Linked DNA regions of Coturnix japonica. The protein of the gene in region 1 interacts with the protein of each later gene in a pairwise test. Links are inferred from orthologs where the notes say so. Each region holds a gene or a part of one and is shown in the gene's direction. Other genes may lie near its edges.

Region 1 (5,668 bases):
TCTGTATTCACATGGAACTCGTTTAATGGAAATATTTCATAACCCCTGTTCTGATCTGACAATCTCAAGCTGTGTTAAGTGAGCATAGCATGTTAAATTTTGCATAGTAGCTTGTGGCATAATGACTGGCTTGTGTGTGTGTGTGTGTGTGTGTGTGTTTGTGTTCAATGTTGTTTCCATAAAACTGAATGAGGGTTTCAGTTCTGCATTCAGTGAGAACAGAGCTGGAGCTTTGCATGAAAAAATCACTCCTAAAAGTTAGTAAAACAAACAGAGGAAGACTAAAAGCAGAACGTGTCTTATGATTATTCCCTACAATAGTTACTAGCTTGATCTTAGCACACTGAGAGATGCGGTGTTTATTAGGAAGATTTTTCAGGCTGTGTTCGTTAAATAAGATAGCCTTTAAATTGAAGATTTCCCCATTTTACAGTGATTTTCTCAGTTGTACATTAGTCATTCTGGTGTTGAGTTAAAAATATGCTAAGATGTTATTAATGAAAATCAAGGTTCTGCTTATCGCAGAACAGACCTTAAAGCCCATCTCTAACCAGTTCCAACTCCCTATTGTGGGCAGGGCTGCCCACCACTACATTAGAGGGTCCAGGGCCCCATCCAACCTGGCCCTGAACACCTCCAGGGATGGGGCACCCACAGCTTCTGTGAGCAGCCTGTTCCAGTGCCTCACCACCTTCTGAGTAAAGAATTTCTTCTTGTTATCTAAATCTCCCATCTTTTAGTTTAAAATCATTCCCCCTTGTCCTGTTGCTATCAGTATAAAGTAAGTCTCTCTCCTGTTTATAAGCACACTTTAAGTACTGGAAAGCTGCAGTGAGGTCTCCCCAGAGCCTTCTCTTCTCCAGTCTCAGCAAGCCCAGCTCCTTCAACCTTTCTCCATAGGAGAGGTGCTTCAGTCTTTGTCACCTCCTTTGAACCTGCTCCCTAACCATGTTCTTTTTATGCTGTTGGCCCCAAGCCTGGATGCAGTACTGCAGATAGGGCCTCACAAGAGCAGAGTATAGGAGCACAATCACCTCCCTCACCTTGCACACCTCTTTTGATGCAGCCCAGGATATAGATGACATTGTTGGCTGCAAGTGCACACTCGCATCTATCTGTTCATCAGAATCCCATAGTCCTCCTCAGTGCTGGTCTCAATGAGTTCTTATCCTGGTCTGCACAAACCTTGCATTGGACAGTGGTGAACCTCATTACGTTCTTGTGGGTCCACTTTGCAAGTTTGACTCTGGATGGCAGCTCTTCCTTCTGTTGTACCAGCGTCACTCAGTTTACAGACTTGCTGAGGGTATGCTCAGTCCCACTTTACAGGTCACTGATAAAGATGTTGAAGAGAATGGTCTTTTTTCTGATAATTAGTAGTAGTGATCTCGCTTTTTTTTTTTTAATTCTCATTAAACTTTATCAGTATTTGTATTGTGAAATCTTGTCTCTAAACCAGCAGTTTAAAAAACATTGGCTACTTGAGAAAGGAAGTGGGGAAAAACGTTGGGGGGGCAGGTGAGGGAATAACTTCTAAGAACTTATTATAGCTTTTTACATTTCTTAGTCTACACTGTTAGTGTAAGATGAGGTGAAGTCTTGAATTCTTGTTTAAGACTTGCCTATCTAAAGATGAAAACAGAGTATTCTTCCTATTGCAATTAATTTGAAAATTAACAAGATGTTCACTGGAATTAAATCATAAATCGTTATTTTTCTATTATTTTTAGGATCAGGAAGGGGTTTCCTTTTGAAGCTAGAGTCGTGGCCCGAATTCTTCCACAGTTCCTTGATGACTTTTTTCCTCCACAAGATGTAATGAATAAAGTTATTGGAGAATTTCTATCCAATCAGCAGCCTTATCCACAATTTATGGCAACAGTAGTTTATAAGGTAATATATATCTGTCTTTTTCCTTACAGGTTTCAGAGAACTACTAAGTGAGCGACAGCTCTTCAGTCTTCAGTACTTGAATACAAGGGGCAAATATAATTTTCACTAGATCTAATAAGCTATTCAGCAGTGTTTGAGGTGTACTGCTGTGAACTTTGTGTTCTGGGGGAAGTGGCGGATCTAGAATCACCTTGATAAAGGAAAATTAATGGGAAAATTAATAGCAGTGATTATTCTGCTCAGATTCTTCTGGTCTTGAGAAGCCACTCTGGGTCATCTGGTCTTATGAAACCAGCCAAGTTTCTGGCAGACATAGTTGGGCTTCTTGGTATTCCGCATTCCATCACCTACTTATTGTACTCGTGCATGTATGCACCACCCTTTATGTATTAAAAACAGAGACACAATGCGGGTCTTGCTTTTTGTGCGCTCACTTCAATTTGCCACAGGTGTCACGAGTCCACTCTGCAGAATCACTTTGTCAGAGTTGTCTCCAACAGCTCTGAACCTCAGAGCTCTGTAGATGAGGTAAACCTTCAAAAGAGAAACTCAACTCTTCCCATGTCTGTATGTCTTGTCTTTATTCCTATGTAAAATATTTTTGCAGGTATTCCAGACGCTACATACCACTGGGCAGTCCTCAATGGTCCGTGACTGGGTGATGCTGTCTCTCTCTAATTTCACACAGAGAACACCTGTGGCAATGGCAATGTGGAGTCTTTCCTGTTTTTTTGTCAGTGCTTCCACCAGTCAATGGATTTCAGCAATGTATCCTAAACAGCCCGAATGTGTGTCACTTCTGGGTAAATGTGATTCTGTAAAGGATATTTATAGCTTAGGAGGTCAAAAGTAATAACTGCTGTAGGCAGTTCAGACTAATTGCACCATTTCCTCCATTAGATAAAGACTGCTGCTAGGTTAAACGTAAGTTTCTGGAAATAAAAAAATTGTGTTAAGCTGCTGAAGAAATAGGATTTATGCAGTAGCTGTTCAGTGAACACATGAAAGTGTTTTTCACATTGCTAATGAACTCAAATATACACCGCTTCATTGGAGAGCAGTGTTTAAAGTAGTAAACCAAACGTGATTAAATTCTGTCGTTTCTGACCTTAACTTACATCTCAGTCTTCCACATATTATCAGCAGAATGGGAAAACTGGAGCAAGTGGATGTTAATATCTTCTGTTTGGTGGCCATGGACTTCTACCGACATCAGATTGATGAAGAATTAGATCGGAGGGCTTTTCAGTCAGTGTTTGAGGTGGTGGCATCTCCAGGAACCCCATATCATCGCCTCCTAACTTGTTTGCAGAATGTCCACAAGGTCACAGCATGTTGAATGTCCCGATGCATAACGAAATTGCATGGCCAGTGTTGGAATCTGAGACGAACTATTAAAAATGTGAGATTGAGGAAGTATCTGTGGTTGCACTTGTGATAAACATGGACCTGCCACTTATTTTCTTCCAGAATGCATGGAGAAGTGCTCTGTAGCACTGGAAATCACCTGAAAATTCTAGTGTAGCTTTTATTGTTCTTGACACAAGACCCATGTGGGTGGAGTTGTCCATGTTCTACAAGTGATGTTTGGGACTAATCTGAGACAGATTTACTAAATGTAAACTGTGATTAAGTGCTACATGCAAGGTAACTGGTATTGTTCTTCCTAATGTTCTGCTGAAGCCACGTGTTGCAGCTGGTAAGAAACTGACAGAAACACTCCATTATTGCAAGCTGCAGTCGTTAGAAAACTCCATAGTTTTATGTACATGTATATACTGTTGTGTAGTACAAAATAGGTTATTGAATTGAATTGTCTCTCCCAAACAAGGACAAGAAACGATGGCTTTCATGAGTTACACTTCCAGCATGTAATTCCTCTCTAGACTTTCTTATATCCTGTGGTGCACGTGTTGGTGGTATCAGAGATGTGGTGCACATACGTAACCACACTTTTTTTTTTTTCCTCTCAGGATTTAAAATTTGAGTACAGTATATCAGTAAAAGAAATTTTAACTTAAATATTTCTATTTCTATATCATGTACAGTATGTAAAATTGTAAGATGTGTGATGCATGAGCTGTGCTGTAATTTGAGATGAACAGAAGCCACGCTACTGAATGTCTCAACATCTGTATTGTCCTCATTTTTCCTTGTGCTCAGATTTATGTTCCTTTTGAAAATCCATCTTAATGTACAGATTACATCTTGTTTTGCATCTCACTTTTTCTTAAAGTGCTTTAAAACTGGAATATGTTGATTTAATGCGTCTTGAGTGGCTGTATTAAGGAGGCATTCTTGTGGTCCACTTGTAGCTTTTGAATTCCTTTATTTTGAGATGTTATGGTAAAAGAGAGGACTAGTTGTTTTGAATCAGACTTTTGTATACTCAAGAAATGGCTCTTACCTGTTGCACAGCATTTAAGAGACAATAGTGCAAACTCCCCAGTAGTCAATAACCATTTGACCTTTCCTAACTGAGACCATGGAGTCAACTGGATTCAAACCACTCTCACATTGAACAAATTTGTACTAGCAGTTGAGAATCAGGAGGCTGCTGTGGTCTACTTTGGGACTGGCTAAGGTGTTAGATTACACAACTGCTTTTATTACCTGTCATACACATAACGCTTTAGACACACAGTACAAATATCAAGGATCTTATAGCACTGCACAGGGCCAGATTTAGCTTTTACCCAGGAAACCCGATTGATTTGTGAGCGTTACATGGGGAAAGCACAGCATTTGTCTTCAGTTGCATTTATTATAATTCTTTAATTATAGAAAAAACGATAGCTGGGTTTTTAGTCATGTCCTATATTTAACCTTTCTTCTATTTCTTATCTCACCTTTTGGTGACACTTGGAAAAATGAGATAGTGTTGTCAGGAGGAGCATGTGCTTGTATGTATTTCTGTATATAATGTATATGTGGAAATTATACACGTGACAACATTTAATGTATACAGATGTGTATATTTGTATTTATTAAACCCGTGTATTTAAACTAATTCCAATCTAGACCAAAAATTGTTACTCCTGCCCATAAATTGATTTAAAAGGAATTGTCCGCTGGTGTCACTTCCTCTTAAAAAGGCAAAACTGATAATATGGGCAGTAGAAACAACTGTAGACATTGCTGTATTTAGCTCTCTACAGATCTTATTATCTAGAGCAATTATTTCTGCCCTTAGTTGGGTTACTCTTATTTTTTGGGCCACAGCACTGTGGTGATTTTTAAAAGAAGCTGAATAGGAGTTCAGAAAAAGATTTAATAGATACTGTTTGAAAGTTTTGAGTTGCATTGGAAATTATCTTAATTCTCACAAGAGACTAATTCAAGGCAGTGAGATTTAATGCCCTGCGCATTCGTTAAGGGTACTATAGATCACTGTTCCCTTTTGTAACCACCAGTAATCGTTTTGTACTGTAAACCCACACACCAGTCAGTTTTTGTATGATATATAGTTTAAGTGAAGATATTTTTGTAAGCTATTTTCCAAAATTTAAAATAGATTTTAATATATTTTTTAAGCATCAGGTTAGTCATATTCTCACCAACAGTATGTGTTGTGTTACAAACTGTTCAATTCTTCATAATTTTAAGCTCCTCATGATTAACACGGACTAGTTGGTTACTTCACCTTGAGATAATGGGAGCTAGTCCCTTTATGAAACTTTCCAAACCAACTCATTTGGAACTTGCCATAGAATCTTTCCAACCACTGAAAGGATGTATTGAACCAAGCCGTCAGCATGGCTGGATGAGAAGCATC
Region 2 (5,361 bases), on another chromosome or scaffold:
TCCTCGCTCAGTGTCCTCCACACATAGTCCTCATGAGACCACATTCGGTCCCCATGGCCTCACATTGGGTGTCTGCACTTCTCTCTCATTGACCCCAGCACACGGTCCCTGTGGTCCCTCAGTTCCTCATGGTCTCTATGGCTCCACGTTGGTTCCCCATAGGTCCTTGTACCCTCCCATTAGATCCCTGTGGTCACCACTCAGTGCCCCCAGCATAGGAACCCTATGGTCCCTCACGGTCCCTATGGCCCCATGTTGAGTCCCCTTGGCCTCACACTGGATGCCCCATGGTCTCTGCTTAGTGTCCCCAAATGTCCTTAGCACAGTTTCCATGGTCCCCCTTGGTGCTCATGGCCTCATGCTGGGTGCCCACAGTTCCCCTGGCCTCACACTGGGTTCCTACAGGTTCCCCTGTTTCTTCATGGTTGCCCCCACTCTCTCTGGCCCCACACTTGGTCCCCATGGTCTCCACTTAGTGTCACCAGCACAGTGTCCCCATGGCTGTGGCACTGGGTGCCCACTTTGGGTGCTACATTACTGTCACAAGGACCCCAAGAGGACCTCAGAACAGAGCCCCTACTTGTGGTGCTGGCACACTGTCCCCTGCACAATGTCCTGATGATCCCAATGCAGAACATCCAGGTAGGGTCCTCCATGGTCCCAGCAGTGTCCCTATGGTCCCAGCACAGGGTCCCCCCATTGCTGGCACCATGTACCCATAGATCCAGCACAGTGTTCTCATGTCCCTGCCTTTCTCTCCCTTTTTTGGGATGACCTGGGGACACCCCACACCAATCAGAACCATGGGGACACCAACTCGATGGCTGCTGACAAGTTCGGGTGCCCAGGCCAGCTCTGTAACTCGAGATACCTATTTTTGTCCCCAAGTGTCTATTTCTGTCCCCAGACCTCAGAGCTGGCAGCAGGGGGATGGCACGTTTCCCCCTGCACCCCATCTTCTGTGGGTGTCACCGCGTTGGGGGGCTATGTGTGACGAAGCCACATGGGTGCAATGACCTTTTCTCACTGGGACACCTGTTTTGTCCCCTAGATTCGGGGAAAACCCCATTGACACATGGGGGACATCGCGGGGTGGCTCAGAGGCCAGCAGGAGCCACTTCACGGCGTCCCTCGGCGGTCCGGCATCCCTGCAGGTACCGTGGGCAAGGGGCTCGGGTGGGAGAGCCGAGGGGAGCGGAGCCATTAAGAGCAGCGCGGCCCCTTTAAGAGCAGCGCGGCCCCTTTAAGAGCAGCGCGGTCCCTTTAAGGCCGCAGCCACTCTTCCCCCGCGTGCTCTCCGGCTGCGCTTGCCGCCCTCTGATTGGCTGCGCGGTGCGTGAGAGTTAAAGCGCTTCCTCCGCAGCTTGCGCGTCCGCCGAAAAAAGGAGTCCCGGCCGTTCGCCCCGTTGCGCAGTGGGCGGAGGGATCCGCGGGGCGGTGCTTCGGCCGGGATCACCTTGGCTTTGCGGCGGGGCGGCGTGCAGAGCGGCGGAGGGGCTCGTAGAGGACGCGTCCGGGCACAGCCGCGGCAGCACCAGGAGGTAACGGCGGCCTCCGGCTCCCACAGGGAGGGCGTTGAAGGAGGGCGGGTAGCCGAGGCCGCCGTCATCGTCGCCGGACCCGGCGTTCAAGCGGGAGTGTTAAGCTCAGGGCAGGGCGATGAGACGCCGAGGGGGCGCTGAGGGGAAGGGCGGCTCCACGCGGCTGGGGTAGCGGCGGCGGAGGGATGGATGGATGGATGGATGTGTGTGTGTGTAGGTGTGTGTGTGTGTAGGTGTGTGTGTGTGTAGGTGTGTGTGTATGTAGGTGCGTGTGTGTAGGTGTGTGTGTATGTAGGTGCGTGTGTGCCCCCAGCGCTCCGCCCGCCCGCCCTGACTCAGCCGTCGGTGCCGCGGCCACGTGCCGTGTCCCCGCTCGGCTCTTGCCGAGGCTCCCCGCTCTCCCAGCCCCGTGCTCCCATCCGTCCCCCTGTAGCCGCCTGCCCGCTCCCTCCGCCCCGCTGCGGCCTTTGAGGCGCTCGGGGGCCGTGAATGGGGCTACGGCGCTTTCGTTGGCGGGGGGCGGCGTGCGGAGCCCGCTCGGTGCCGCTCCGTTAAGGCGCAGCGCTGCTCGGGGAGCGGGTGGGAGCGCGGGGCCGGGTTCGGGCATCGTCCTGCCCCAGGGACGGCACTGGAACGGGAGGGGATGGCGGGGGGGTGTTAGAACTGGGGAACCGCCCTCCGACGCCGGCCCGAAACCGCCGCCGTGAGCGCTCGGCCCGCTCCCGAGCCGCCGTCGGACGGTTGCGGGAGGCGGAGGAACGAACGGGCTCGGCCGAGCGCCGCCACCACGTGCTGCCGTGTGCGGGGGGAGGGGGCGGCGCCGCGCGGTGCGGGTCGGCACGTACGGCATGGGCGGCACTGGGGGGTGTGAGCTGCGCGGGGCATAAGGGGCATAAGCTCCACGCCATAAGTTCGTCGCCCGCGCTTCTTCCCTTCTGATTAAACAGGCTTCGCTTGAGCCTGCCCCGTGCCCTTGTCCTCTAGGAAGGGCAGCCGCAGCACAGCAGCGCGATGCCCAAAGCTCATCCTCCGCCTTGTGGCTCGGCGTCCCGTCCCGGCCGTCCCCACGAGGGCTGCCTTGGAGGCCATCTTGCAGTTGCATAAGGATGCGGCGAAACCTCCCGCAGTACGAGTCATCCCCCCCTCCCTGCCGGGGGGCCCGCCGTGTTGGCGGCGTGCTGGGAGCCCGGCTGCGTGGCCGTGGGGTGGGGATGGCGGTGGGGCTGAGCCTCCGTCGTGCCCCGGGCACGGCTGGGATGCCGCAGCCGGACGTTCCGTAAGTCACTGAGTCACCCCGCTGCTCGGCCCGCTGCCCTCCAACGGTCCGGCCCTTCTGGAATGTTCAGCGGCCGGGGAGGCATCGGCCATTTTGAGCGTGCCCTGCCTGGAATGGGGTGATACCTGGAGGGATTTAAGAGTTACGCCCCGAGAAAGGAAAGCTGCTTTGTGCAGGGAATCAGGCTTTGCGAGGTATTACTCCCCACCCCCTTCCCAGCTCAGCTCACTGTGCCTGCAGGTGTTTCTTAAAAGACAAAAAGTGGGAAATGCCAGACGTTCCTCTTGGGGTTATAAAACAGCCCCTTGGAGCATCCATCCTTGCAATTGGAATGCAGGAGGAAGCAGAGGAACGTGGGGCTCCCTGCAGCCCTGCAGATGGTGGCTGGGTTTTTATTCTGGTGCCGTGTTTCTTCTGTCCTCCCCATACAAGGTCACTGCGTGGCTGCAAAATCTCAGGGGATTCTGACTCCAAGCAATTTAACTCTCCTCCCTTCTTAGACTATTGCAAAGCCTTCGGGGCTTGAAAATCACACTTACAAATGACTTCAGTGGGTGGGGAGTTTCCACAAGGAGGAAGCCGCCTCCAAAGCAGGGCGGCTGTGCTCCTGTATGAGCTGCACTCAGTGCTCTGTTCTCCCCAGCCCTATTCCCTACAGCCACTATTCCCCGCAGTCACACAGGCTCTTTCTGCTGCTGTTTGCAGAGGCAGTTTCCTGGCAGAGGCCCTTTGTCCTGTCCAGCAGGTGCTCCAGGATGCACCAGCAGATGTTAGAAGGCTGAAACACAGTGTTCAGGTCTGAGCAGCGGGCATCCCTGTAATAAAACGCCTTTGTTGAGGCTTTTATGTGGGCAGGCTTTCTTGTACTGACTGAAGTGAATCAGCAGCTTCTGGCAGGGCTGAGGTAAAGGCCGCCTGCCAGGACAAATTATGGTTTCTGCTGGCCCATCTTTGCGCTCCATTTCATGCGTCGATGAGGTGATGGTGAGTCAGGGCTGCCTGCGAGAGGATCTGCACGTAGGAGGGGGGAGCGGCTGCTCAGGGACCTCCGTGCTCACACTGCTCCCTTCTGCTCAGCTTTAGAGGAGCTGCTGGTTTATTAATGCCCTGTGCAGATGGAGGTGCAGCGTGGGGAAAAAAATGGTGAGCTTTGTTCATGTGCCAGATGGGAGTGTGTCCCTGCATGGCGCAGTGTGCCGAGGGTGAGCAGCCCCCCACACCTTGGGGAGCAATGCACTGAAGCTGGTGGCAGCAGCATGCGAAAAGCTGAGCCTTGCACAGGCACAAAGTCCTGTCTCACCTGGCTGTAAATGCAGGAGAGGACAGGCAGGTTTTAGTTGCGTTGCTGATTGAGGACAGAATTCCCAGCCGGGTGTGCTCCCATTGCAGCACACATCAGTGTTTCACTTCAGCTTTCTCATGGGGTTGGGACCTTCCCCGCTGTTCTGGGGATGCTTTTGTCTCATGGAGGCAAACATGGGATTTCTTACTCCCAGAAACATCCAGTCTTATGCCCTGTGGAGGCTTCGTACAGATGCAGGGGCTGTGGGAGACTGCTGCTGTTTATTTGGAGGAGGACATTCAAGGATTCTTTTGTCTTATTTGCATCGTCTGCCCCGGTGTTGTGTTCAATCAACTCAAGTCTGATTATCTGTGCGGGCTTAAAGGCTGGGTTAAGCCTAGGTGCACTTGGTGTGCTGAGGTGTGTCCCCGTGTGCAGCACAACTGCAGTCACACCAGCTGCCTTGATCCCTGGGCTGCTGGCAGAGATGGGCTGAGAGCGGGCAGGGAGCGGGCAGCACGCTGCCTGTGCACTGAAGCGCTTGAATTTTGTTGCGTTGTGTAGCTGCAGGGGAAGACTGGCAATGAAGAGAAGCTATGAAGGGAACTTCTGCATAGAAGGCAGGTGAGCTTTGGGTGGCATCCATGGGGAATGACATTTAAATAGAAGTGTGTCTTGCCTGTACCTAAGACTCTCAAGTAGGAACATAACGATAGTCTGACCCAGTAGCAGCTTTCTTGTTACCTCCATATTCATCACGTGGGTGTGTTGGTGTCTCTGCATGGTGAACGAGCAGGGGCGACCCTTAAACCCGGCACCATTTTCTTCTCTCGCAGACACCGAACATCAGTAACCATGTCAAAGCACCACGATGCAGGGACCGCTTTCATCCAGACCCAGCAGCTGCACGCTGCCATGGCAGACACCTTTCTGGAGCACATGTGCCGCCTGGACATCGACTCCGAGCCAACCATTGCCAGAAACACCGGCATCATCTGCACCATCGGTACGTGGCTCCCAGATCCCACATTGTAAGCTCAAGCTGTGTTTGCTTGTGTTGGTGAAACTCGTTGTGGGAATGTGGGATGGCTTCAGCCTTTATCCGTTGCGAGGGCTGTGCCTGTCTGTTGAGACTTGACTTTCCCATGCCTGCCTGCCCAGTTTTATTGCTTGGATTAAATTCAGTGATGTCTGAACTGGTTGGGTTCAAACGAGCTCCTAGAGTCAAGTTAAGACAAAGGAGCTGCTTTCATGTTGAGCAG

The links.
Region 2: the proteins of HTT (region 1) and PKM interact in binary tests that used the Homo sapiens proteins (3 or more experiments, as listed by UniProt). The link is inferred for Coturnix japonica from reciprocal best matches to the Homo sapiens genes HTT and PKM.

What each region holds. Positions count from the first base shown.
Region 1 is NC_029519.1:74,566,030-74,571,697, reverse strand, and holds part of HTT (huntingtin), read left to right. Parts: intron 1-1,730; coding exon 1,731-1,893; intron 1,894-2,500; coding exon 2,501-2,661; intron 2,662-3,018; coding exon 3,019-3,232; 3' UTR 3,233-5,668.
Region 2 is NC_029525.1:981,172-986,532, reverse strand, and holds the start of PKM (pyruvate kinase PKM), read left to right. Parts: upstream 1-1,455; 5' UTR 1,456-1,541; intron 1,542-4,663; 5' UTR 4,664-4,682; coding exon 4,683-4,723; intron 4,724-4,935; coding exon 4,936-5,105; intron 5,106-5,361. UniProt on the Homo sapiens protein: Catalyzes the final rate-limiting step of glycolysis by mediating the transfer of a phosphoryl group from phosphoenolpyruvate (PEP) to ADP, generating ATP.